Linked DNA regions of Xenopus tropicalis. The protein of the gene in region 7 purifies or fractionates together with the protein of the main gene of each other region. This does not show direct contact. Links are inferred from orthologs where the notes say so. Each region holds a gene or a part of one and is shown on either strand. Other genes may lie near its edges. The genes, in order: cnot7, cnot9, cnot2, cnot11, serbp1, cnot10 and rc3h1.

Evidence for each region.
Region 1: the proteins of rc3h1 (region 7) and cnot7 purify together in Homo sapiens (affinity purification with mass spectrometry; 5 studies listed by BioGRID, with this or other methods). This does not show direct contact. The link is inferred for Xenopus tropicalis from reciprocal best matches to the Homo sapiens genes RC3H1 and CNOT7.
Region 2: the proteins of rc3h1 (region 7) and cnot9 purify together in Homo sapiens (affinity purification with mass spectrometry, with the first as the bait; 4 studies listed by BioGRID). This does not show direct contact. The link is inferred for Xenopus tropicalis from reciprocal best matches to the Homo sapiens genes RC3H1 and CNOT9.
Region 3: the proteins of rc3h1 (region 7) and cnot2 purify together in Homo sapiens (affinity purification with mass spectrometry, with the first as the bait; 3 studies listed by BioGRID). This does not show direct contact. The link is inferred for Xenopus tropicalis from reciprocal best matches to the Homo sapiens genes RC3H1 and CNOT2.
Region 4: the proteins of rc3h1 (region 7) and cnot11 purify together in Homo sapiens (affinity purification with mass spectrometry, with the first as the bait; 4 studies listed by BioGRID). This does not show direct contact. The link is inferred for Xenopus tropicalis from reciprocal best matches to the Homo sapiens genes RC3H1 and CNOT11.
Region 5: the proteins of rc3h1 (region 7) and serbp1 purify together in Homo sapiens (affinity purification with mass spectrometry, with the first as the bait; 3 studies listed by BioGRID). This does not show direct contact. The link is inferred for Xenopus tropicalis from reciprocal best matches to the Homo sapiens genes RC3H1 and SERBP1.
Region 6: the proteins of rc3h1 (region 7) and cnot10 purify together in Homo sapiens (affinity purification with mass spectrometry, with the first as the bait; 3 studies listed by BioGRID). This does not show direct contact. The link is inferred for Xenopus tropicalis from reciprocal best matches to the Homo sapiens genes RC3H1 and CNOT10.

The regions. Positions count from the first base shown.
Region 1 is NC_030677.2:42,300,004-42,303,983, reverse strand, and holds the start of cnot7 (CCR4-NOT transcription complex subunit 7), read left to right. Parts: upstream 1-1,180; 5' UTR 1,181-1,323; intron 1,324-1,330; exon of another isoform or gene 1,331-2,009; intron 2,010-2,812; 5' UTR 2,813-2,915; coding exon 2,916-3,032; intron 3,033-3,980. UniProt on the Homo sapiens protein: Has 3'-5' poly(A) exoribonuclease activity for synthetic poly(A) RNA substrate. Its function seems to be partially redundant with that of CNOT8.
Region 2 is NC_030685.2:82,345,818-82,348,235, forward strand, and holds the end of cnot9 (CCR4-NOT transcription complex subunit 9), read left to right. Parts: intron 1-10; coding exon 11-120; intron 121-453; coding exon 454-552; intron 553-670; coding exon 671-762; intron 763-1,069; coding exon 1,070-1,238; 3' UTR 1,239-1,918; downstream 1,919-2,418. UniProt on the Homo sapiens protein: Component of the CCR4-NOT complex which is one of the major cellular mRNA deadenylases and is linked to various cellular processes including bulk mRNA degradation, miRNA-mediated repression, translational repression during translational initiation and general transcription regulation.
Region 3 is NC_030679.2:59,329,356-59,333,616, reverse strand, and holds the start of cnot2 (CCR4-NOT transcription complex subunit 2), read right to left. Parts: upstream 2,801-4,261; 5' UTR 2,791-2,800; coding exon 2,680-2,790; intron 1,923-2,679; coding exon 1,850-1,922; intron 1-1,849. UniProt on the Homo sapiens protein: Component of the CCR4-NOT complex which is one of the major cellular mRNA deadenylases and is linked to various cellular processes including bulk mRNA degradation, miRNA-mediated repression, translational repression during translational initiation and general transcription regulation.
Region 4 is NC_030678.2:110,377,181-110,381,229, forward strand, and holds the start of cnot11 (CCR4-NOT transcription complex subunit 11), read left to right. Parts: upstream 1-1,249; 5' UTR 1,250-1,663; coding exon 1,664-2,072; intron 2,073-4,049. UniProt on the Homo sapiens protein: Component of the CCR4-NOT complex which is one of the major cellular mRNA deadenylases and is linked to various cellular processes including bulk mRNA degradation, miRNA-mediated repression, translational repression during translational initiation and general transcription regulation.
Region 5 is NC_030680.2:83,566,754-83,571,001, forward strand, and holds the start of serbp1 (plasminogen activator inhibitor 1 RNA-binding protein), read left to right. Parts: upstream 1-1,448; 5' UTR 1,449-1,576; coding exon 1,577-1,841; intron 1,842-4,248. UniProt on the Homo sapiens protein: Ribosome-binding protein that promotes ribosome hibernation, a process during which ribosomes are stabilized in an inactive state and preserved from proteasomal degradation.
Region 6 is NC_030682.2:50,224,724-50,228,223, reverse strand, and holds part of cnot10 (CCR4-NOT transcription complex subunit 10), read right to left. Parts: intron 2,878-3,500; coding exon 2,701-2,877; intron 814-2,700; coding exon 733-813; intron 1-732. UniProt on the Homo sapiens protein: Component of the CCR4-NOT complex which is one of the major cellular mRNA deadenylases and is linked to various cellular processes including bulk mRNA degradation, miRNA-mediated repression, translational repression during translational initiation and general transcription regulation.
Region 7 is NC_030680.2:98,036,385-98,039,884, forward strand, and holds part of rc3h1 (roquin-1), read left to right. Parts: intron 1-225; coding exon 226-489; intron 490-1,157; coding exon 1,158-1,375; intron 1,376-1,877; coding exon 1,878-2,260; intron 2,261-3,500. UniProt on the Homo sapiens protein: Post-transcriptional repressor of mRNAs containing a conserved stem loop motif, called constitutive decay element (CDE), which is often located in the 3'-UTR, as in HMGXB3, ICOS, IER3, NFKBID, NFKBIZ, PPP1R10, TNF, TNFRSF4 and in many more mRNAs.

The DNA.
Region 1 (3,980 bases), on a different chromosome or scaffold from region 7:
AGTGTACCTTATTAACATTCCCCCCCCACTTCATAAGTGTACCTTATTAACATTCCCCCCCCACTTCATAAGTGTACCTTATTAACATTCCCCCCACTTCATAAGTGTACCTTATTAACCTTCCCCCCCCACTTCATAAGTGTACCTTATTAACCTTCCCCCCCACTTCATAAGTGTACCTTATTAACCTTCCCCCCCACTTCATAAGTGTACCTTATTAACATTCCCCCCACTTCATAAGTGTACCTTATTAACATTCCCCCCCACTTCATAAGTGTACCTTATTAACATTCCCCCCCACTTCATAAGTGTACCTTATTAACATTCCCCCCCCACTTCATAAGTGTACCTTATTAACATTCCCCCCCCACTTCATAAGTGTACCTTATTAACCTTCCCCCCCCACTTCATAAGTGTACCTTATTAACCTTCCCCCCCACTTCATAAGTGTACCTTATTAACCTTCCCCCCCCACTTCATAAGTGTACCTTATTAACCTTCCCCTTACTTCATAAGTGTACCTTATTAACATTCCCCCCCACTTCATAAGTGTACCTTATTAACATTCCCCCCACTTCATAAGTGTACCTTATTAACATTCCCCCCACTTCATAAGTGTACCTTATTAACATTCCCCCCCACTTCATAAGTGTACCTTATTAACATTCCCCCCCACTTCATAAGTGTACCTTATTAACCTTCCCCCCCCACTTCATAAGTGTACCTTATTAACATTCCCCCCCACTTCATAAGTGTACCTTATTAACATTCCCCCCCACTTCATAAGTGTACCTTATTAACACCCCCCCAATTTCTAAGTGTACCTTATTAACCTTCAACCCTCACTCAGATAACATTAAATAAAACCGCAAGATACAGTCGGCTGTCACTTCCTCTTACACCCCCAGTTGTCCCTTGCCGTGCTACACAACATGTATGTAACCTTCCCTACGCACCATGATATCTGAGAGAAGCCATACACGCAGTTGTCACATACCTGCACACACATACTAGATAGACAGTTGTGTGTTTATCCCATCAAGCACAATCCCAGTTGCCACTTACTTTCACTCTCCATGGGTCGCGCCGTATGACGCACAGCCTGTGACATCATGTCACCTACCAGCTTGAGAAGGGGATGGTTTTCCACGCCTTTGTGGCGGCTTGACGTCATCCAAGTGCGTCCGGGAGGAGGTTAGCAGGAACCTGCCGTGGGACTGGCGCGTCGCTCGCATGACGTGTAGGGGCCTCGGTAATCTCCTGTGCGAGCCCTGGGAGCGCGGTCGTGAAGTGACAGACCGGCAGCGGCCAGACTTATCTTAGGTAGGGCAGGGATAGTGTCGGGCTGTGAGCCTTACAGAACGGATACGGAGCAGTGGGATGGCACACACACACACACTGGGCACAACCAGAGGCGGCTGTATTGTCTGTCACAAGCATCAGTAGGCATTGGTGCTTAGCGCACATACCGTGACTATGGGCCAGTATCCAGTCGGGGAGCCTCCAGCTCGTTCAATCACAAGGGACGCAGAAGGGATACTTGCACCTGAACAGCTTTTATTGGCAGCTGTGTGGCGAACCCCTAGCTCGTAAACTACATTACCCAGCATCCTTCATCAGCCAAAGGATACGCTTCAGCAACAAGTGCAGCTGGACATCTTCCTGTCTACCCCGCAAGACAGTTCAGGGAGACCTGCTTCTCCCCATTCATTTCTGGCTTTTATTAAAGGGGCAGTATACCCCCTTGTTCATTATGATTGCAATGAATAGAACTTGTGCTGATCATACTTTTTGTCTGTTTTAATCAGGAAACATTTATTGTTTTTGATGTTTTCTGTGCTAAACAGTCAACTGAAGCTCATGCATGTTTTGTGAGGCAGATCATTATCAGTGCACAAAGGAAATCCTGCCAACCTGTAAGCCAAACTAGACATAACAAAGGGTGATGGGATGAGGGTTGTTTATACAGAGCTCAGTATATCTAGATAAACTAACTCATCTAATTAATGGTAAGAGAGTAAGCATAGGAGAAAACAAATGCTTCATTTCTGATTTATTATAATGTTATCACTAAGAAATATGCAATTTTTTCAGTTGATATGTTCAATGATATGCTGTATTATTTGCATATGTTCTATTTATTTTGCTAATGTTGTATATTGGCATATACTGCCCCTTTAACACATGATCTGCATAAAACATGGTCTGCATCCAGGGTGGCACCTAGAGATTCTTATGTATAGAACTCTGGTATGGTCACTTTCCAAGAGTTGTAATAATACTGCTAGCCTACATTATTACTACCCAGTTGAAGCCTAACAGTACCAGCTGTGTTCATTATCTCTGCTTAGTGATGGGCCAGAAAGCTCAGATTGCTGGGCCTTGCTGTATAGAGCACTAAGGCAAAATAGAATTATGCTACTCCCTAAAGAAGCCACAGTGTTGACTTAAAAGATGGCTTTACAACTATTACCATGGGTAGAGAGAAGAAATATTCTATTTATACACTTTTGTGCTTCAACCACAACTTCCCCTAACTCATATTAACAATGGATCACCATATATGGGCAAAATACAAAAATCAATTTTTGGGTAATGTCATGGACCAAACACACTCCATAGTCAGAGGATCCCCATTCCTAATATAAAATGTATTGCACAAAGTGCATATTGTTCAAAAGGTGGTGGCATGCACATGGGCCACCTTTCCCCTTTCTTGGCATTTCCTGATATGTTCTGCCTGCTAGTATTATACCGGTATATTATTTTTTATTTGTTAGTAAAATAAAAACTATTCTTCTTTTAATTTTAGATTTAGCAGCTGATTTCGGCCTCGGCCTACCACCTATGAAACCCTTTAATAGCTAATTGCAAAATTTTGATGCCTGCCTCTGAGTCAGTCCCCCAGACCCACTATGCCAGCTGCAACAGTGGACCTCAGCCAGCGAATTTGCGAAGTCTGGGCTTGCAACCTGGATGATCAAATGAAGAGAATCCGCCAAGTTATACGCAAGTATAATTATGTTGCAATGGTATGTTTAGGATGTTTGTTTCCCCTCCAAAAATGTTTTTCATTTTTGAAATTGGCATTAAGAGTTCAGGAATATTTAAGATTTTATAGATTTTTGAGTCTCCTCAAAGGGGAACCTATTTACTGTTTATAAGCAATCCTTGCTTGCAGTATCTGCCACACTGCTTCCGCTGTCAGGGTAATATTATATCAACTATAGACTCTAATGGCCCAATGTTTCGTGTGACATAACAATAATAGAATAATTAATTTACTTTAATATGCAATATAAGTACTTGTTTACATTAAAATATTAATATTTTTTTTGTCCAGTACAATGGGTTCGGTTTATATTGCAGTTATAATTTTTCTAGTGTGTAGAAACAAGTCAGGCTGCTTACTGCACTTATTTGTTAAAGATATTTCTAAGTAGAACTAAAGCCTAAAAAAAAAGAATATGGCTAGAAATGCTGTATTTTCTATTCTAAGCTAATTGTAGCAGCTTTATGATAGTAAAGATCCATGGGCTCAACTGCTAAAGGTGTATGGTGGCCATGGTCTGGTAAGGTGCCTGCCATTGGGTAGGCTAGGTAGCAACTAAAACTCTTAGAATAGTGGCACACGGTGCTGTTTCAGGGACTTTGATTAACATATTTTTAAAGGAGAACTTTACTTCCGGATGGCACTCTTTGCCTAGACCCCCCCCCCACCTCTCCCATATCGCATTGTTTTCAAGTTTACACTCTGTCCCTATTGCTGACTGCTAGCTAAAAATGCAGACAAGCGCAACCGCGTACCTCGCCAACATCTTACCGACTGAAGACTCTTTGGGTCTCACAGCCGACACCTAACCTGCTTGAGAATGCGCAGTTGAAGCAGATTTCCTGCTACCTACAACTACTCATGCGCAAGCAGGTTCGTATCGGCGGTGAGACCCAAAGTGTCTTCAGTTGGTAAGAAAATGTCGGCC
Region 2 (2,418 bases), on a different chromosome or scaffold from region 7:
TCGCTAATAGGTGCCCTTGTGAAAACGGACGAACAAGAAGTCATAAACTTCCTCCTTACCACAGAAATAATCCCATTGTGCCTACGTATTATGGAGTCTGGAAGTGAACTCTCCAAAACAGTACGTATTTTATTGATGTGCCTACTTTTGTTTGTGAGTCTAAAATTTCATTGAAGAGCAAGACCAACTTGAAGCACATTCTCTTTACACATGCACTGCAGTTCTCTCAGTACAGGGGGCATATAGACAGAAATGGCTTTAGGGTGCTTGTGGGCCGTTTCAGCTGTTTTCCCTGCAGTTTAGCATATTGATTGGTAGACAGAATTTACTAATCAGATCCAGGGATGGTGCCTGATTATTTTCCTTCTGTCGTATTTACTGGCTCACAGTGCACTTAGCAATGCTATAACATCCTGCCTATGATCACAAAATGTATTTGTCTTTTTTTTTTAGGTTGCCACTTTTATTCTTCAGAAGATTCTCCTAGATGATACGGGTTTGGCCTATATTTGCCAAACTTATGAGCGCTTCTCTCATGTTGCAATGATTTTGGTAAGAAGCCGTGCTTCGTGTTACACGTCCTATAACTGGGTTTGCCACCATGTGATTTTAATGTCTTTGAAACATATTATGGTACAGGTAGCTGTTAACAATCTTTTTCTTTTAATAGGGGAAAATGGTCCTACAGCTTTCAAAGGAGCCATCTGCAAGGTTGCTGAAACATGTAGTACGCTGTTACCTCCGCCTCTCAGACAATCCAAGGTACGGCTGAAAATAACCCGTGACTTCTTTTTCAGCTTGATAGTATAGGTTGCCATATTGCTTGTGAGTTTTATCTTCAATGCCCTGTTCTCAAGGTTTTCTTACTCCCTCCTTATAAGTAACCCTGTACAGCACCTTTATTTAATTAGTTGAGGGATCCCATCTTAAATGAGAATAGGGTTTTTATGTCCATAGCGGATAATAAAGCAGTACACCTTATTATTAGATAGCATATGTAACTACATACATTCACTAAACAACAGATTTATTCCATTGTTATTCACATTACATTAATCTTTGATTCCAGAGCGAGAGAGGCATTGAGGCAGTGTTTGCCCGACCAGCTAAAGGATACCACTTTTGCACAGGTACTTAAGGATGATACCACAACCAAGCGCTGGCTGGCTCAGCTTGTCAAGAACCTGCAAGAAGGTCAGGTCACTGACCCTAGAGGAATACCCCTGCCTCCCCAGTAATATCTGCACAGACGGCAAAATGTGAAGCTGCTTGTATAAGTTTGCAGAGCAAACAGCAGGAGGAGAAGAATATAATGGGAAAATTTAAAAGTTGGCACTAATTTTTCTTGCTTCCTGGTATAGTCCTGCTGCATGGCATCTAGAGGCAGCTGAACCACCTGACGTCTCAAGAAGGGTACAGATCTCAGCACCAGCAACAAAATAGGACTGCTCCATAAATTGGTTTGATGTGGAACAAGAGATGGCTGCTTTAGTATCTGGTATTCCGTGTTGCCGTAGTGCAGGATGGTATGATCTGTCTTTTGGTGTGGGCAGTGAGCTACGTTTACTGTTACAAAAAAAAAAAAAAAAGTACAGTCAACAGACTTTATCTGGAACAGTACAGTCTTCTAGCTCTAATGGCCAAGGCTAAATCGTTCCTCCACTGGTTGCCTTTTCTCCTCCTGTGCTTCAGCTTATTCCAAACACTAGGGCAAGTTCCGCTATTGAATACATGCTCTTTTTTTCATCTGATTTTTTGCGCAGCACAAGCTTTTCCTGCAGTACAGACTGTGAGCCCATCTGAGTAACCATTTCTGCAAGATTTTGACTGTAAGTCATAGAACAGCCTTGTTACTTCGAAGCATTTGTCCATTGACCCTTTAGGAACAAATTGTTTAATTAAAGCATTTCCTAATGCAGCAGTGGCTTTTACATTTCTTAATGTTTTTCATGACCTTTCCTCCTATCCATGAGAGCTGCAGGCGATGCCAGTAGGGCAGGCACTCGGGGGCGCTAGAAAACAGGAGCTCTATACAATGGGAGAGTAAAAAGGACACATTAGATCCCCACATCCTTAACTAGGTTGCATAATAAATAAGTGGGCATCTCAAACTGTGTCTCTTGACTCTGCCATGACAAAGAACAGCATTGCTTTCCAGTGCTGTGAAACTCCATATTCTTGGGCTCTGTACACCTATCAATTATATCCTTATAAATATATTGCGACTTAGTGATTTGGTGGCATTGTGCTTAAATGACAGCGGCAATGAACTGTTAATTAAAACATCCTCTCTGGCAAGTTATGGGGAAATGTAATGGGGCTGTATCTATTGTGAAATGCTATTCACAGTGGAATGGCTGTCTGTCAGGAATCTCACCCCAGCCTGCGGCAGATTATAATGGGATGTGGGGGCCAAGA
Region 3 (4,261 bases), on a different chromosome or scaffold from region 7:
AGTAAAACAGGAATTCTGGTTATTTAATATAAGATATAGTATGCTCTTCCCTGCAAGGCTAAAAATGATTAATGAATGTTAATGGTATATTATGAGACTAAATAGACATTTACTTTTGGGAAAAATTGCTAGATTTTAAGGTAAACATAAATTAACGTGTTGTTCAAAAATATAAATATGGTGGAGGGGGTATGCATTTTTCTATATATAAGAAAATGTATTAAAGTGTACCTGTCACTGCCCCCCCCCCAGGAGGTGCGGGCTAATAGAGCCAGCACTCTGGTTGTGGGAAACAAGTTTTTAAAGAACAAAAAAAAAAAAGTGTCCCTGCCTGTGCTAGGCTAGCTCTACTGGGAGGGAGCCCCCAGTGCAGCCAAGCCTAGCACTGCAGGGGGCATTTTATAGAATGAATTGCAGTATGTAGAAGCTTTTCAACATTAGCCTTTAGGTCAGAAAGCAAAGAGCAGATATGCTGGATTCAGGTGGAGGACAAAGATGATATTAAGATTAAGCCTAACAATATTTAAAATATAAATCGTTCCGCAACCATGGCCCAAAGCATGAGCACTAGTAAGTTTCTCATTGATTTGCCATGGGAATACCCTAGTCATTGTTTGGTCCTGTGTTGTCTACACATTGGACAATGCAGTTCAACCAATGCTTTCTGTAAATCAGTATATTTTTAAAAAATGGCTGCATGGCAGTGCTGAAATTAATCTGATATTTATTCAAGATTAATATTCATCTTGGAGGCAGTACCAGTAGACCCTGCAAGTGAATACTTGCAATATTCAGTAGACCCTATGAAATTGTCAGATTCTGATACAACTTTATAATTCGGAATAATGACCTTTACTATGTAACTAAATAATAATTTTTTAGGCGATAAAGGGGAAAAAAAATCCTTACCTACAACGGGGGGATTTGTTAGTCTATATAAGTTAATTATTTGTCCAAATTCTTATTTAATTAATGCAACTATAAATGCATTAACCTAGTTTAAGGGACTTAAACTATCAGCTTATATTTTGGCAGGAGACCAGTTAAAAATGCCATATGATGCTCCTGCAGTTTAGACCTGCTAGATACATTAGATATGCAGTTACACATTATGGTCACAAGTATTCTATTGGAATTGGCGATTTAAGACACCCATTGTTGCTGCCACTGGCGCCTTTCCATCATACAATGACATTCTTTACAATATCATTCTTCCTGGCAACAATGTGGGGGAAGGCACTTGCCTGTTACAGCACTATAATGTCCCTATGTACAAAGCAAAGTCCATACCAAATTTGGTTGCTGGGATGGGAGTTAAAGAACTTGAACAGTCTGCACAGAATCCTGACCTTAACCCAAGTGAATATCTGTGGGATAAACCTAGAACCCAGACGCGAGGAGTAGAGAATTATGGTTTTAGAAGCAAAGAAAAGGACCAAATATATATTGTGTGATTAAACATTTCTTTATTCAGTGATTGGATAAGGTGGTTCATAACTCTGTTTCGGTTATTGTGAGTGTCGTGAAAGGTCCCTCAAGTACTAACACTAACCCACTAAGCAAAAATGGCACTTCCTAACCCATACAGAATAAGGCATTTTAGTAAGTATCAGAAGAGAAAGTCACTTAGTTCTGTGCACTTAAATATAACGGTAACACACTGTAACACTCGCATTGTTTGAAATATTCATCCAACCAAATGTGACTAAGAGCCTATACTCTTTCGACCTTTAATTAAACTCCCCCTGAAGTAGAATTTACTCTACAGGAGACAGTCAATATGAATATAAACACATAAAAGGATTCATTTCCAAAGGATGCAATTCCTCATAAGCCAAAAGAATCTTACTTTGTTGTCCATATAAACTGGCCCCAAACTGTGACAGCTGACCCGATGCGGATGGTGATGGAGATGCCAGCATCTAAATAACACGAAACATATATATATATATTTATATATCATTAGTGCAAATGAACACAATGAGAGAAGGCTCACAAAAATGTATACCCAACAATCTCTAAATCAGTCAAGATCTAGACTGACTATCTTTAAATTTCCACATAATTTTTCCAGCTACACAAAGTTACTGGGTTACCTTACTTCACCATATAAAAAGGTTCTTTATTTTGCTTCAGAAGTATGATAGTTTAACAACATAAGCACTCATGAATATGTTGAAATACAAGCATAGTACTTTTTTGCCAGAAAAAAAAAACACAGTGGTGTGAAACTGTTAAAAGCCAACTGTGCTTATTTACAATGCAAGCTGTCTTTTTAAATGTATTTATAAACCTTGTTTGTAACTATACATGAATTAACACCATACATCACAATTACAAAGAGCAAACCATGGTGTTTATAAAAGGTATTTTATTTTGTCAGACTACAGCTGAAATTTACAGCTCCTTTTATAATAGAATTTTAAAATCTGCTACACATAAATCTTTCTGCAGCTTTATAGACACATGGGATTTTACACTATGTTGTACTTTAGGACTGTTTACATATTGTTATATATCTGTGCCTTAAATTGTCCACCAAAGGTATTGCCACTCACAGGAACATGCACCCAAGTCCCCAACCTTTGCAGTTATAACTTACACACTAAACACAAGAATACTTCTATTTTGTGTGCTCTGAAAGTTATTTGCAGCATTTTGCTATGAAACTCAACTTACATCTTTCTCCGACCGATGTGGAAACATCGTAGACTGGCTATAATACATATTCTCATCATGGTAGTCACTTTCGACACCTTCTACAAACTTCTTTCTTGAAGCACCAAACATGCTGTATGTCACCTAAAAATTAAAAAGCAATAAGATTACACCAGTGAGACAGACGCTGTGATTTTCTCTAAAACTAAAACTGATGATACTTTATTTACTTTGTTTGAAAAGCCTAAAGAACACAAAATACGTTTAACCACTATTTCTGAGCAACCACATAAATCCCATCAGATAATTCAAGCTTAAATATAAAAATAAATACAAAAATAGCATTAAGTTAATACCAACGGATATACGGATGCTTTCACTGGACTGGAAAAAATGGAAAAGTATTTTATGTTCGACTGTCTCATCAGCAGACCAGATAGTATAAATACAACCACTGGGACTCATTTGGATCACTTATTCTGTGGAAAGAATATTCACTAACTAACTGTTCTATAAAAGTGTAGTTATAAGAAGAAAAAAAAAACATCAATAAGGCATATTTTTTAAGTCAGCATATAGAGTGCAAAAACTGGGGTGATCGCATTTGGTAAATTGCTAAAGGACACATGTGGTTCAGGGTAATAGCACTGATTTGGGACAGTTAATCAATACATTTTTGAGCATTTTTTTTTTTTGAGCCAAACTGGCTAGGCTAAAGTATTAGTAGGGGAAAAAGTTTTGTGTTCCTTAACCATTGGGTTAATTTTTCTGTTGGGGTGCGACCTCTAAAGCTGTAAAGGATAGCACCTAGGCAGAATGGGGTCTAATAAAGTAAGATTAGACAGGGTTAAATAAATTCACGTGAGAATGTAGCGAAGTATAGTGGTAAAAAAAGATACCACCAAGAGATTTAAACTACATGATATTTTGATATTTTATCTGACCCACAAAATATTGTCACACAACTGCAAGATTTTGTGGAATCCTACAAAATATGATCCCCTCTGATGTAATGCACGTCAGATTAAATAAAGTCGGATGGAATGTTTTGTTTATGCAGCCACATCCGACAGTCAATGTATTTTAATAATAAGAAAAGAGTCTTTCAGACCTTATTAGACTTAATCTTGCCAGACGCAATTGCAGCGGCCCCTTCTAATAAGCATGCCATGTGTGATGGCACAACTAACTAACTGTCTGCAAATAGCTTTTTGGGCAAATTGTGAGGGCTACAGTTAAAAGATCTTATTGAGCATTATGATATAACTGGTATTTCCACACACCCCCCCCCACAAACAATTATAACTATCGAATATGTGGGAAACCCTGTAGGAGAAAAGTAAAAAAGAGGACTGACTACCTAATTAATGGTCACAATGCCCAGGAAATTGAATAAAGCTGCAAAGTTTAATTAAATTGCACTTATAACTTAACACTGTACTATATACAGAATGCTGAACTATATGGACACATTATGTAACATTTACTACATAATTTACTTGCATTGCAACAGTTACATAGTTACATACGGTTGAAAAAAGACCCATCAAGAGTCCATCAAGTTCAACCCATCCAAGTAAACCCAGCACACACAACCCACACC
Region 4 (4,049 bases), on a different chromosome or scaffold from region 7:
GCACAGCCATGACTCTTATCTCCTCCCTGGTCATAGACCATTTTGTCAAACCACACACAACTCACCTAAACTCCCACTTTCCCCTCCCCTATGCAAACAGAAATCATGCTTGGGGCCCGGGACTGCAGTAGCCCCTGTGCCCCTTCAAGTATTTTTGTGTATAGGTATGAGATATATGAGATATATTATGCTGGAACCCATTACCCAAAATGCTCTGTAACAAAGCAATGTCATACTATAAAAAAATAAATAGGCTGTAATCAATTTTTTTCACCTTAGATTTATTTGTGGCTGGCCAGCCTACTAATTAAAAATACTTATTATCACATACAATTCATGACTTAAGGTCAACTCTTCAATACAAAACACAGACCACCCCTCCTTTGAATCACAAACTGGGACAATAGCACATCTTTAGTGAACTCCAATAAAGGGTAATTTTCAAGTTTGATCATTTTTATCCCAGAATAAAACCAGCATCATATATTATTTATTATTGACTACATAGCTGGGATAAGACCAGCATCATATATTATTTATAATTGGCTACATAGTTGGGGTAAGTAATAGCATTATTAGTAATTGTATGTAATAATCAGTATTTGAATTAGTAGGCTGACCAGCCAAAAATAATTTTAAGGTCAAGTCTAAATAAAGTGAATACAGAAAACCCAGTGTATTTTTTATAGTATTGCTTTAACCTTACCCATTTGGGTTAGGATTTGTTGCCATTGGTACATTGCATTATTCCTTTTGGGATAAACAAAGCAAAGTTGCTTCCAGTAGTATCCTGTTTATATTCCTCACTATTGCAGGCGACTACTCTCCCTGACATGCCATCCCACTGGCAAGAATGTAAATCGCCGGTGGGATGGTATACGCATCACTTCACTCGGCTGAAATTGCCTTGCAAGCAAACTTGCGGGCGACTTTGGAAAACTGAAGCAGCTCATATACCATCCCACAGGTGATTTACATTCTTGCCAGTGGGATGGCAAGTTGGGGAGATTAGTCACTCACAATAGTGAAGATTTAATGCAGTTGACCAATCTCCCTTTGTGCCACTGCCCTTAAAGAAGAAAAGGTAAAATGTTAGGCTACAATCACTGGGGGGTGCTTTTCTTCTCCTTTAATTAGCATTATTATTCTAAGTCAGAAAACTTTGACCTCAAAAACAAATATGTTTTATTAGACAAACAATTTTCCACCAGTTCAGAAATACCCCTTATCCAGAAACCTCCAACATTTACCAATAACAGACCCTGGCTGTGTTTATTTTACTGTGGAAATGTTACAGTCCATGTAGCCACTATCAATAGCAGTCCCTTGCGGCTTTGTTGACATTCCAAAACTATGAACGGAACGCTCATCCCCACGTGATTTGTGCATAGTTCGTCACTTCCTGCTGTGTGAGTCCATATCCCGGTCCATTTTAGAAATCTTCTATCCAATCTCACGGCTGCGACGCATACAGAACCAAATAATACACACGCCGATCTGAGAAATACAAAACTTTATTGACACGTGTTTGAAAGAACAGTGACAGGCAGGCTGCTTGTGTAGGCCGCCATACATGTAATAACACGGGAGAAGGCGCGGGCTGTCTCGGCTGCCACAGAAGGCAGCGGCGTTACACTTACACGCTGTCCGCATTCCCGCCAACATGAGCCTCTGTGGGAAAGAACTGTCCAACCTGCTGGGCATCATGACGGAGGAGGCCTGCAGTACCACGTTCGAGGGCCTCTCAGCCGCCTTCCATCACTGCTTCTCCAAAGCAGACCATTTCCGTGTGGGCTCCGTGCTAGTCATGCTCCTGCAGCAGCCCGACCTACTGCCCAGTGTCCCGCAGCGCCTCACCGCCCTCTACCTGCTGTGGGAGATGTACCGCACCGAGCCGCTGGCTGCAAATCCTTTCGCTGCTGTCTTCGCTCACCTGCTTAACCCACCCCCTTCTGCTGTAGAGGAGGTAGAGAGACCCCTGTCAGGTAATCATTGTCCAGAGGTGGTGGGGGTTCACCCAAAGCTGGAGGGCAGCAAGTCTGATATACCCCGGTGTAGTCGTCTTCACAAAGGTAGTTGACTAAATGCAGTGATATTGTAATTAGTGGACCAATTTACTTTCTGTAGCTCTTCAGCTTGAAATTTTAGCAGCAATCTGGTTACTATGGTCCAGGTTAGCCTAGCAACCAGTCAGCAAGTGTAGATTTATAAAAGAGGACCTTGCTGAAGTCAGTGGCTATCAACTACAGTAGAACCCCATTTTACGTTTTTCAGGGGATCATGAAAAAAAGATGTAAAATCGGGGAAAATGTAAAATCAGGGAAATGTGTTAAGGACACATAAATGTCAATGATTTAAAAGAAATAAGTACAGGAATAATTTTTTATTTGCAACACAGTTCCTTTACTGAGTTATTTCACAGGTTTTAGCAGAAGTACTGAAACAACTTTTTACAGTACTGTAAAACATTTTGCATTTAATGCATGTGTTTGCTAAAAGTTTGAATATCACTATAAATTAATAAGATGCGGAAAAGAATACTGTACAGCACTGAAACAAAAATCTGTATTCTTTTAAAAATCTGCACCTTGTACAGCTGTTCCCCATACTTGTGCAACTCTCGCTGTATTTTGTACGCTCCGGGATAGGTACGCATACGCAGTATGAAATACTGGCGATAGTGGTGACGCTGACCTTCCTAAGATGGCGTCTGTGATCGCAAGACATGGGGGAAACTTTAATTCCTAAAGTAAGCTGTATTTTTACCTTAAAACTAAGCGATTTGCTAGGGAGAGGCATGATAAAAACAGTGTAAAATGCGGGAAATTCATATGTAAAATCCGGGAATAGAGCCCATAGGAATGCATTAAAATTGGTGGGACCACAAAAAAAACGGTGTAAAAAGCGGGAAAACTTAAAATCCGGGGATGTAAATTGGGGGTTCTACTGTATTAAGGTGGCCGTACGCTATAAGACACTCGATTTTCTCCCGATATGCCCACCCATGACTGGGCAATATCAGGGTAATTCGAACGGTTGGCCACATAAGCGCCGTTGTATCGGGAAAGTCGATCCAAAGGAAAAATCAAACCTGACAGATTGAAATCTGCCCAATTTCGTGCCAGATGTCTGTCTGTAAGACCCTTTGGTGGTGCCCATATCCTGCAGATAAAGGACTTATATTGGCAGCTGAAATCGACCCATGTATGGGCACCTTTACACAGGGTTTTAAACTGCAAACTGGAAAGGTGCAGAAAAGGAAGGCAATTAACTGAAAACTGGTCAGAAAGTTACTATGAACAATAGGCTGTTTTATAACTAAAGTTAGATAATAGTCAGGAGTGTAGTTAACATCACTGGCATATGGAAACGTACATGTGGAAAGACTGAATACACCACATGGAGGGCATCCCTGATCCAGAATATGGGTAACAAACTGGCTTGGGACTTTCCTACACTCTGGTTTCTGCTATCAGGCCATACCATGTCAATGTGAGAGCTGTGCATTAATTCGGCTAATAATATATAATTAGTTACTCATCTTTTATTTCTGCTTTGTCTTTGGAGTGATAACTTCTTTCTGGAAGTTGTAGTCATAAACATGCCATCATTAAATAGCAGGGGTCAAAACATCTGCTACATCCATTAAGCCTATATGTCACATGGGGCTGATTTTTGACCTTAGAATCGGCCCCTATACTGGCATCTGCCCTGTGCCCGCACCCGGAGCCACTGCATCAACCTGGGTGCAGTCACACAGTGTGGATTCCGGTTTTGAAAACTTAAACTTGCAAGTTTCAGGGACAAAATCTGCTCCTGGTGCATCAGCACCATGTGGCATTAGGTTGAAGTTACATGGAGCGATTAGTCACTGCAACTTTTTAAAAAGTTGCGGCGACTAGCTGCCGTGCTGCAAACGACGTACAACGCGTATATTGATCTATGGCAGCTAAATCGCCGCTGCAGAGTTTTTAAAAGTCTTGGCCTTGTATCTTTGCCCTTAACATGACTATCCTGAGAAGAGAGTTTAGCTATCATCACAGGCCTTG
Region 5 (4,248 bases), about 14 Mb from region 7:
CTTGAGAGAACACACAGTCAAATGTGTTGGAAGTCAGGGCAGTGTTTCAAGCTCTGAAAGCCTTTGGGCCCAAGATAAAAGAAACAGCGGTGACACCAAAAATAGACAATTCATCTATTTTAGCAACATGCTAAATTAAGAAGTAAGGGAGGACCAGGAATCACCTTCTTAAGAAAATGATGTCCCTAGTTTTTATTCAGGAATAGCAGAATCTGGAGTAAGTAACTGTAGTTCACATTCTGGGCGTACTCAAACAACAAGCGCACTATATAGTTACATAGTTGCACAGGGTTGAAAAAAGACCAAAGTCCATGAAGTTCAACCCTTCGAAGTAAACCCAGCACACACAACCTATACTGACCTATCTATACACTCACATACATAAACCATATATACCAACATCAATACTAATTGTAGATTTTAGTATCACAATAGCCTTGGATATTACGCTTGTTCAAGAAATCATCCAAACCAATCTGCCATTACAATATCACTCAGAAGAGCATTCCACAGCCTCACTGCTGTCTTTTCCTGCCCAATTTTCATGTGAGCAGACCTACCCTCTGTGTATGCACAGTGGCATTATCACAGTCCCCCAGCAAGCCATGCCCCCAATATTTCCCCAGTGTCCTGCGATTTGGGTTGACGTTATAGGAAATGTTCTTTTTTTTGCCAACTAGGCCAGTAAAATACCAGGAAGGCAACAACACAAATATATACTAGGGTTTCCACTTTTCTGGAAAAAAAACTGGCCTTCCTATATTTTTGTCTTTAACCTAATAATAACGTTGGCAGTAAACATAGTTTTTCTGACCAGACCAGTAAAATACACCCATCTGTTGTACAGCACTACATAAAATGTTAGCACTTTACAAATACATCTTAATAATAGGGATGCACTAATTGTCTGCAAAACAAAATGTAGAGGTTTTGTTTTAACGGAAAAAATATTCATACAGAAAAATATGGCAACACATTGTTTCATTCAGAGACTCCTTTTTTTTTTAATTAAAACCTTTATTTTTCATTCCCATTAGCTACTATATGCGAAAACGCCTATTTCTGTAACTCTATGCTGAAGATTTTCATCAGCATTTAGCTTCCAAATTATTGAACTACAACTCCCACAATCCCCTGGCTACAGCTTCATAACAATACAACTAAGGGAGCATGTTTCCTTATGGGGGCAATTATTTTTTTAAAAAAACTATTCTAATACGGAATACTGAGGCGGTAAATTACAGCTACCCAAACCAAGCACCTCCCTCACTTCGTCTGTTTGTCTCTATCTATCTACAACTGACAGGCAGCACGCATGAAAACATAGATGGGGCCCGCACAATGCCGGTGAATGGCATGCTGGGAATGGTAGTTCCTAGCGCCACTATGTAACATGCACACGCACGACAGTTGGCATACAAGTCCCATCATGCCGCAGCCGGAGAAGTCCCGGATGTCTATCGCGCCGGAAGAGAAGACAGCCTCTTTCCCAGCCATCTTTTGGCTTACTAGCAAGCGAGCTCTAGGCTCCAGGCCTCGTAGAATCGGAGGAACATCCACCTCTTAAGGGGCCATCATGCCCGGTCACTTGCAGGAAGGCTTCGGCTGCGTCGTAACCAATCGGTTCGACCAGCTATTTGACGATGAATCTGACCCCTTCGAGGTGTTGAAGGCGGCCGAGAACAAGAAGAAGGAGGGCGCAGGGGGACCGGGTCAAGGGACCGGCAAAACGGCAGCTCAGGCCGCCAAACAGCCCAAGAAGGAGTCCCAGAAAGACCGGAAGAACCCTCTGTCCGAAAAGGAGGAGAAGAGCCAGGCGCCTGTACCAATCAAGAAGGAAGGTAACGCGCCATAGGACTAGCACTGAGGGAGTGACAGTAGGCCCCGGGGGTGATTAGGTAGTTTAATCCAACGACAAGTGGCGAGCTGTGTAAGCTTCAGCGCAGGGACGTTCCACTACTGAGTTTCGAATTATTTTATATTTCATTTCCATGCATGCACTTATAGCCTATAAAGTACTACCCCAGGTTCTACGAGTTAAGAGTTGAACTCGAAAGGTGCCATATAGCACACATTCGCAGTGTATACTTTTCCTGTCGAACTGTAAATTACGCGTTTATAGCGGCAGTTGGCTGAACCAGGCGCTTGCACCTCGGTTATCGCCGTATTGTTAACTTCTTTTTGTCAGACGGGCTCATGGCACATTAGACGGGAGGGGGGGGAGGGGAGCGTTAAGAATCGAATTGCCCTCCAAGGTCAAGCAGAGCTGTCACTGAAGTGTTACCGTTAGGGCCTCGCACATGGAGCTGCTTCCCTTAGCCCAGGCTTGTGGCGGGAGAGCGCTAGGGAGCACGTGGTGTGAGGGGGGAGGGGGGCGGTTGTCACAACACTAGGCCCTAGCCATACTTACCAAACACGTGGGCCTATCACTGAAATGTGTGTGTACTGCTATGGGTTGGGCGCTTCCTGCAGGCCTCACCACTCTGAGCCCTACTATTACTGGAGGGTTGTTGCCTTTTTCTTCCCAGTACAACTACAAAGAATAAAAGTTTGCAACATTGGTTTGGGTTGGCTTGTGCTCTTTAATGTGCATACGCCAGATTTTACTATGGGGGGGCCCTAGATAAAATATCAGTTTTCCATGTGGTTCATGAGAGCTACAGCAACTAGTCCAGGTATTACTAGTGTCAATCACAGCCGCTAAAGACGTGTTATAAAAGTACTTTGTGCCATAAAAAACACGCCGTATCAGACTCCTAACCCTAAAGCGTTTTGGAAGGCATCTTAGCTTTTATTTTAATACTAATGTCAACAGACTGATGGGAAATGTTCAAGCACTTGACCTAAAAACTAATAATGTGAAGCTCTGCTCTTGCAATGTTCAGGGCAATGTCATTTTTCTAAACATTTCCATAATTTACCCAAGTTTTATTAAGTGTAAAGCCCTTTTCTATACTGGGTGTATTTCAGTAGTAGAGTAGCGCCTGAAACAGCCCCCGATTCTTTACATTGACCAGGTGTTTTTCCTATAAGGGAATGGGGGCAGCAGGTGTTGTTTGGGGCACTTTTTAGCTAGCTGAAATAAGGCTGTGGAGAAACCACCCCATCAGCCCTTAATGTGTGGCCAATTTCACCACACATCATTGCTGTCTTTTAGTGTTCTGGTGTAACAGTTAGATCATCTGTTTGTGCAGTGTATTCTGTTTGTTACATCTACCTTCTTATTTCTCACTAAGTTTCACAGTATATTTCTTAATATAGGAGAGCTGTTAGGAATATTCCAAAACGTTTAAATGTTTTAGCATCTTACGAGAACTAAATATATATGACTAAATATATAAGCCTTCCTACCTTTTATGTTGCTGGGCAACAACTTCCAGCATTTAAAACTAACCTAATAGTCACAGATATAAGCATGCTGGAAGTTGTAGTTAACATTTGGGGACACCAGGTTTAAAGGGCTTGTGGTGAACATACTTTTTGCCTATTGTTTTAATCGCCATAAATCTGTTATTTTTATTTCTTGAGCTGAACTGGGAAATTGAAGTTACTCCATCTTTGGTCCTTGTGAGGTAGAATATTAATTAACAGTGCCCTTATAAGCTCCATGTGTAATGGGTTATTGTTAATGAAAATCTCAACTGAGGATAAAGGGAAGAGGGTTATTTACTTTAATCTAATTATCTATCTCGCAAGGTCCAAACATACAGTAGCCTCGGTTTCCCTGTTTAGCTTAAGAACAAAAACCATAGATTTTTCATTATAAATGCAACATGTACAACATATGTGCAATATGAATTTAATGAATAGTGCTTGTACTGAACTAGAGTTTTACTGCCCCTTTAAAAAAAAAAGTTTTAAATGGACAATATAGTAAACTACTTTGTTTGCTATGTATGAAACGTAGTATAAATACTTGCAGTTACACAAACAGACAACAAATGTGATTTGTATACATTAATCATTTTCATAAAGTGAAGTCTTTTCCAAAATCTAATTATTAAAAGGGTATCGTGCTAATTATGTAGATATGTTAATTGTGTCAGTGTGGCCCTTCCCAGGTCTGGGCACTTTGTAGCAGATATGTATAGTTAAATGGTAATCCAATAGTTCAAGGTCATGACAACTATAATTCTGTATGAGCTTACCTTTTCTTAGTTGTATGAAAACTCATTTTAATTCCCCCCACCCATATACATATGGCATCACATGTTCTCATGCTGGTGTTCATGTGCTCAAGCCATCTTC
Region 6 (3,500 bases), on a different chromosome or scaffold from region 7:
GTATTTCAAGAGATTTTACTAACTATCAGCTATGAGGTTTAAACAAGGTTGGAACACACCTTTTAAGATACTTTAAGATCCTGTGATCAGCAGCACGTAGATCTAGATGGCTGTAAAGTAGAGCAACAGTGGGGGTTCAACCTGAAGATTAGTCAGGGTGAAATTTGGGGAGTTTCTTTTAACTCCTAGATACATTTGAAAGCCCAGCTTTGAGGTCATTTAGGGTAAGATTTTGTCATCCTACACATTTTTTGTAACCATGTCACACCAGTGTTTTCCGTATTTAATGAGGACTCTGTTATTGCACATTTGAATCCAAATAATGTCAAGATATTGCAGAGTTTCCCTTTTGTTCAGATGGATCCAACACAATGCAATTACCAAGGAAATATATGCAAGGTGAATCATGCTCACAAAATCGTGCACAGTACATACTACTTGTTGCATACTGTTTGAGATCCTGCAGCTGGATGCAGCTGCAAAGTAGGCAGTTAGCTATGCCTAAGGCATAGAGGCGGGGCAGGAAATACATGTCAATACATGTATACAATCGGCAGCTCAGATTTTTAATTACAATTAAGCACTTCCTAGATATTACTTAGATGCATAAAATGAAATGAAACATAACACCTAATTATAAGTAATGGCTGATAACGATAAAGTCAATACAAAAAGTCTTGAAAAAATAAATATATATATAAAACCAACCAACATGAAGAAAGCATACCATACCTTAGGTTTTCTACTTCTTGCCTCCTTAGGGGAGATGAAGGTGGAGCTGGAATGAATTTATCCCCTTCGTGGTTTTTATTGCTAAAAGAAAATCAAATAATTCTTTTAAAGATGAATGTGCTCAAAGGATATGAGCAGCTCTCACTCAATAACGAGCGAGATGATGATGATGCAGGATGGGATGCTAAAAAGTTCTTTATTTAAAGACGAGACAAGTTCATCCATGCGAATAGTGCCAACAATATTTATCATTTTAGAAAAATCATTTTAGCAGCGATTTAGACAGATAGTGGAAAACTAATAATAATAGGCCAAATTAAATGCTTTTGTTATATTAGATATCCTGCTTCTGTTTGCCTTTTACAAAAGCTGTAACAGAAACATCTCCAATAAAACAATTCTCAAGTTTAGTTTGGGATCAACATTAGAGTAAGGGCCGTGACACACAGGGAGATTAGTCACGCCGCGACAAATCGCTCAGTGCGTCTTCGCTCTCATTAAAGAAAACAGTTTAAGGTGGTAAATAAACAAAAACTATATCTAATCTTCAGTGTCTCCCATTCGGCCACCACCTCCACTCCTCAGCCTCTCTCAGTTGGGGTACCTCAAGGCTCTGTTCTTGAACCCCTTCTATTTTCAATCTACACCACTGGTTTGGGGTCAACTAATCAGCTCCTTTGGATTCCACTATCATTTATATGCAGACGATACCCAAATTTACCTCTCTTCCCTAGACCCGCCCTCGCTCCTTACTCGTGTCTCCGACTGTCTAACTGCAATTTCTGCATTCATGTCCTCTCGCCACCTAAAGATCAACGTGGACAAAACTGAGCTAGTCATTCTCCCTACCCTCCAACTCCGTTTCCCTGCCTGAAATCACTGCGTGGAAAATATTAATATAACCCCAGTTCCACAAGCTCGCTGTCTAGGAGTCACATTTGACTCTGCTCTCTCTTTCACTCCCCACATTCAAACACTCTCTAGATCCTGTCGGTTCCACCTCAAAAACATAGCATGCATTTGACCTTTCCTCACTGATGAGAGCCAAAATTCTCATCCACACCATTATCATATCTTGCTTAGACTACTGCAACTCACCGCTCTGTGGGCTACCCCTGTCTAAACTGACCCCACTCCAATCCATCATGAACAGTGCTGCCAGACTTGTACAGCTATCCTCCTGCTCCACAAGTGCCGCCCCTCTCTGCTAATCCTTGCACTGGCTACCTGTCATGTACAGGATTCAGTTCAAGATGCTTGTACTCACCTTCAAAGCACTCACTGGTGCCGCACCAGTCTACTTAACCACCCTAATCCCCAAGTACACCCCCAGACGTAACCTTCGCTCTACAAATGACCTCCTTCTCTCCTCCTCACACTCTTGAATTCAAGACTTCTCACTCGCTGCACCGATCCTCTGGAACACCATTCCCCGTCCCATTAGGCACTGCCAGACTCTCCAAGCTTTAAACGGTCTCACCTTTTCACTCAAGCCTATAACCTAAACCCCCCCAAACATTCACTAACCACTGGTTTTCACCTCTCACTCTGCACTTACTGTCACTTTACACACCTACATGAACTCTAACGTCATACTAGTTACCCTGACCTTATGTCACAGCCCTCCCTTTTAGAATGTAAGCTCTTGCGAGCAGGGCCCACCCCCTAGTGTCTCTGATCCTCATCCAATGTAACTGCAAACCATTTTTGTGAATTGTTTATATGTGCATGTTAACTATTCTGCCTTTTGTACCCCTCTATTCTGTAAAGCGCTGCGTAAATTGATGGCACTATATAGATAATAATAATAAAACATTACCGCTTTTAAGACTGATGGTTTGAATAAATGATCAGTTCCAGGTCGTAATCTCCAGGTCATTAGTAAATTTTAAGACACAGTTTATATTTCCCCACAATGACAAAAGACAAGCAAGGCAGAGAAACTGCCAGTATTACTTGTCTGCTTACCTGCACACATCACTGCTCTCCCCGCTAGAGTCTGTATTGCCTGTTTGACTACTAGCCTTGGAACCATTTTCTTGCTTTACTTCAAACTGGTCTTCTGGCAAAAGAAGCAATGCATTTCTCAGACATATTGCAGCAAACTCCATGCTAGCAACAGGAATAGCTGAAGACTCTCCATCACTGATAAATAAAAAGCACAAATCTATTTCAAAACAGATACACACTATACAAAATTAAGTGAAACAAATTTATCTGCATTTACTCATGGCTTATGTATGCTAATACAATAATAATGTTGTACAAAGTAGTCAATGGAGCTGAGTGGCAGATCTGTTGGGTCTCTTTGGAATACCACATACAGCATGTGTCAGACACACACAGTTCACCATGCAGAATAGGTTACTAGCAAATATCCCCTCTTTATACTATGGCTTACTTGTACAATTGGGCCTTATGGTGATTTAAATGGGAAATAAAGCCCTACATGAAATTCAGTGCACCATTTTGCTCCCCCCAACATTACCCGTTCTTCTTACAAGAAAAGGAACAGTAACACTAAGGGATGTGGCAGACGGGGAGACTAGTTGTCCGCGACAAATCTCCCTTGTCGCGGGTGACTAATCTCCCCGAAATACTATCCCACCGGCGAGTATGTAAATCACCGGTGGGATGGCATACGTGGGGCCATGATTTCCCCAAAATTGTGGAAGTTTGCTCTCAAGGCAACTTCCGCGATTTCGGGGAAATCACGGCACAACGTATGCCATCCCCCTGGCGATTTACATTTTTTCCCCGTGTGCCAC
Region 7 (3,500 bases):
TGTTCCCTGGTAGTCAGAGATGAGCTTTACCAATATATTGTTGCTTGCCTACAGTTTTCAAAAGCCTTGCATATTCATATCATAGTCAACCAGGATATTTAAAAGGCACAGTTTAGGGTCTAGTATCCATTCTTGGTTGTATGACTGGGCAGTACCAACGCGTGGCATCTCACAGTAAAACTTAACTTATTGCTTTAGACATTTTCCTGCTCGTGTTTACTTTAGGTTTCGGAAAATGAACAAACGTTTGGTTCCAAGACGGCCACTCAGTGCTTCGCTTGGTCAGTTGAATGAGGTTGGACTACCGATAGGAGCACCTGATGAAGGTCCTATGGACTTGCCACCCCGAAAGCCAAGTGGGCTTCCCAACGGCATTGTTCCGGGGACACAGCTCATCTCAAGGAGTACAGACTCTGGCTTTGAGTCAGTGCTGAAACAAGTAAAATTGGATCAATTGAGCAGCAGTGCACCTGGATCTCCTCCAGAACTGTAAGAATCTCAGGGTGTTTTTTTTTAATAAATTTATTTTTTTGGTCTTTTAATTTTGCTAGGTTAGGTGTCAACTTTCTCCAAAAATGTATTTTTATTTAGATGATGGAAGAGACTATTTATTTGGTAGATAGCTTGTATTTTTAATTTTGTAGCTTAAAGGCCAAAGAAAACCCCAGCATATTTGATCTGCACATGTACTTTAATGTTTACTTGATGTATGTTTCTTTGTAGTATACAAAAGCTCTGTGTTTATGCACATGCAAAGGTTTCCAGACTTATTAAATGCACGTGCACTAAGTTTTGGGGAGCACTTGATGAAACAGGATATGATGGGAGGGGAGAAAATTGGTAAGTGTGTATGCGCTCCTTCTATTGCATCCTAACACATGCCTAAGACTCATGCTGAGGGTTTTCTTGTCCTTTAAAAACAGCATAGAAAAATGTGTATTGCTTCTGATTTGGCAGTAACATTTTAAGCAGGGTTTCTCAGTGGGAGCCAGTCCAACTCTGGGAGTCAGCTTGGAGACCCGTGTTATGGTTTTGGCTATGTATTTGGTTTAACTACAATTGTAGTTAGATGAGTTTTTGCCATGAGGCTTCACAGCAGTTTCTAAGCTTCTAGAAAATATTTTTTTTTACTTTTTTATATTTCAATTTTTGGCTAGGCTGGATTCTGTCCCCAAGGCATCTATGTCTGCTTTGCCTGTCAATGCTCATCCTGCTGCTTCGCGTGTATCCAGTGATATGCCACCATTGCCGGTTTCCAAGCCAATCCAAATGGTGCCACGTGGTTCACAAATATATGCCCCTCCTCCAGCAGATACGTTTTACCAAGAATGTCGGGGTGGTGGACCTCCATTTGATGCAGCTCCCTATGCACAAGGTAAGTGATGTTTAATTCATTAAATATTCATTTTATTAAGTGTTGATGAATATAAATTTGTCACTGCATGTAGTTGGAAGTTGCTGCAGATTTAATGTAGATCATTTGATGTGGGTAGTCCTGTGTGCAAGCTTTTCTTCAGACAGCGGCTTGAGAAACTAGAGGCAGCCTTTTCACAATGTAATCCAGCTTGTATTACCCGTCATGTATCTTTGACACACAAGCTAAGATGTTAAGATATTAAGATGTGGGTATTTGCAGTGAACTCAGCTATTCTGTCCGTTGTGATGTCTAACACACTTTCCAGTGGTTTACATTCTGCAGGACACATGGCACATGCATGCAAATTGCTTGGCAATGCTACAAATAGCATCACACCAGGAGACTTTAGCCTAATTTGTGTAGTCATAAGAAAAAATGTAAATATTAATGGCCTTTAATGTACATGATTTTTTTAAGAAACAACTATGTAAGTTCTCACGTTAATCAAATTCACTTTTAGGTGTTTATTACCCACCTCAGTCCTCCCAGTGTGTTTCACGCTTTGTCAGACCTCCTCCTGCTGCCACTGAACCAGCCGCCACCTACCTCGACCACTATACTCCCTACTTACAGGACAGAGTTGTCAGCACACAGTATGGCACTCCCACTCAGCAGTACCAGACAATTGTACCCACCCAGTACCAGCCACATTATGACAACCGTCGTGTTTATCCCTCTAATGCTCCACCTTACCAAAGGGAGGAAATAGTTCGTGCAAGTCCGGTGCCTCTAGAAATGCCTCCTGCTGCTATCTCTCCCTATGTTCCTGAATCCAGAGAGAGATATCAGGGAATTGAAGGTTATTATACACATCCAGGACAGATAAGGCCATCATATCATAGGGTAAGTATAATATCCATCTTCCTCTTAACTGAGTATGTATGAGAACACAAGCAAATGGAAAGAGTGCTCAAGGTCAACAAATAATATATGGTAATGTAATAGCTAAAGTAAATGTGCAACACTGTGAGATTATTTTAGGGTTCTAAAATATTTAAAATAAATATTGCCATTACTAAGTACTTCATCCGCACATTTTAATTTTTTTGTACAAAAACATGCAGTATTCATATAAGTGAAACGCTGTGGTTTTGTGTGGCCAAGTTCAACTTAGCTTTGTTCCTTTTTACTCTTCATCATCTGTCATAAGGGCCCCCCATTCTGCATACTCAATCTTTGTGATATCTTACCATTACCCATATGATGAGGGTGTAACTAGTTTTACAAAAGAATTAGTATATATCCATACGACTACAACAAAACAACAACAACGCTTCAAGATTTAGTCTTTAAGTTTAGCCTTGAGGATAGAAAGGTGGTCTTTGAGGATCAGAGTGGACACGTTGAAAGCCAGATTTCATAGCTTTAACAGAAAAGATATGCAATAGTAGTTGGACAGACAAAATGGGTCAATAGTGGCCTTTTGTAAGATATACTTGAGATGAGCAAGAGTAAATTCCGATAGCTGGGGAAGAGCTGAATATATGCAAAGGAGCTGCAGCACATTGTTTAAGCAAAAGAGGGCACGGAGTTGAGGGAACAAGTTGTGAGTGGAGATGACGAGAAGCTTGGAGGCTTCAGAATCAGAAGACTGTTCTTGAAGAAGGTGGGCATAGGTAGGAAGAAGCAGTTTTTCTTGAGGATATGAAAACTGAGTGATTTTGCTATTGAGGGATAGAAGTTTATTAAATTCAGTATATTATTTGAATGTAATATAGTAATCTTGCTTGACCTTTGGAAGTGCTAAATTGTTCTGTGAGAATTGTTCTGTGAGAAATTTGGTTGGACTTCTCACTTGTGCTAGATTTGCAATGGTTCAGGGTCAGAGGAAATAATGCAGTTCCAAACTTAAAGGAACAGTAACACCAAAAAAATGAAAGTGTATAAAAATAATTAATATTTTATATACTATTGCTCTGCACTAGTAAAAGTTGTGTGTTTTCTTCATAAACACTACTACAGCTTATATAAATACCCTGCTGTGTAGCCATGGGGGCAGACATTTAAATTGAAAAAAGGAGAAAAGGCACAGGTTACTAAGCAGATAACAGATAAGTAGCATAGATTCCCATTGTATTCTACA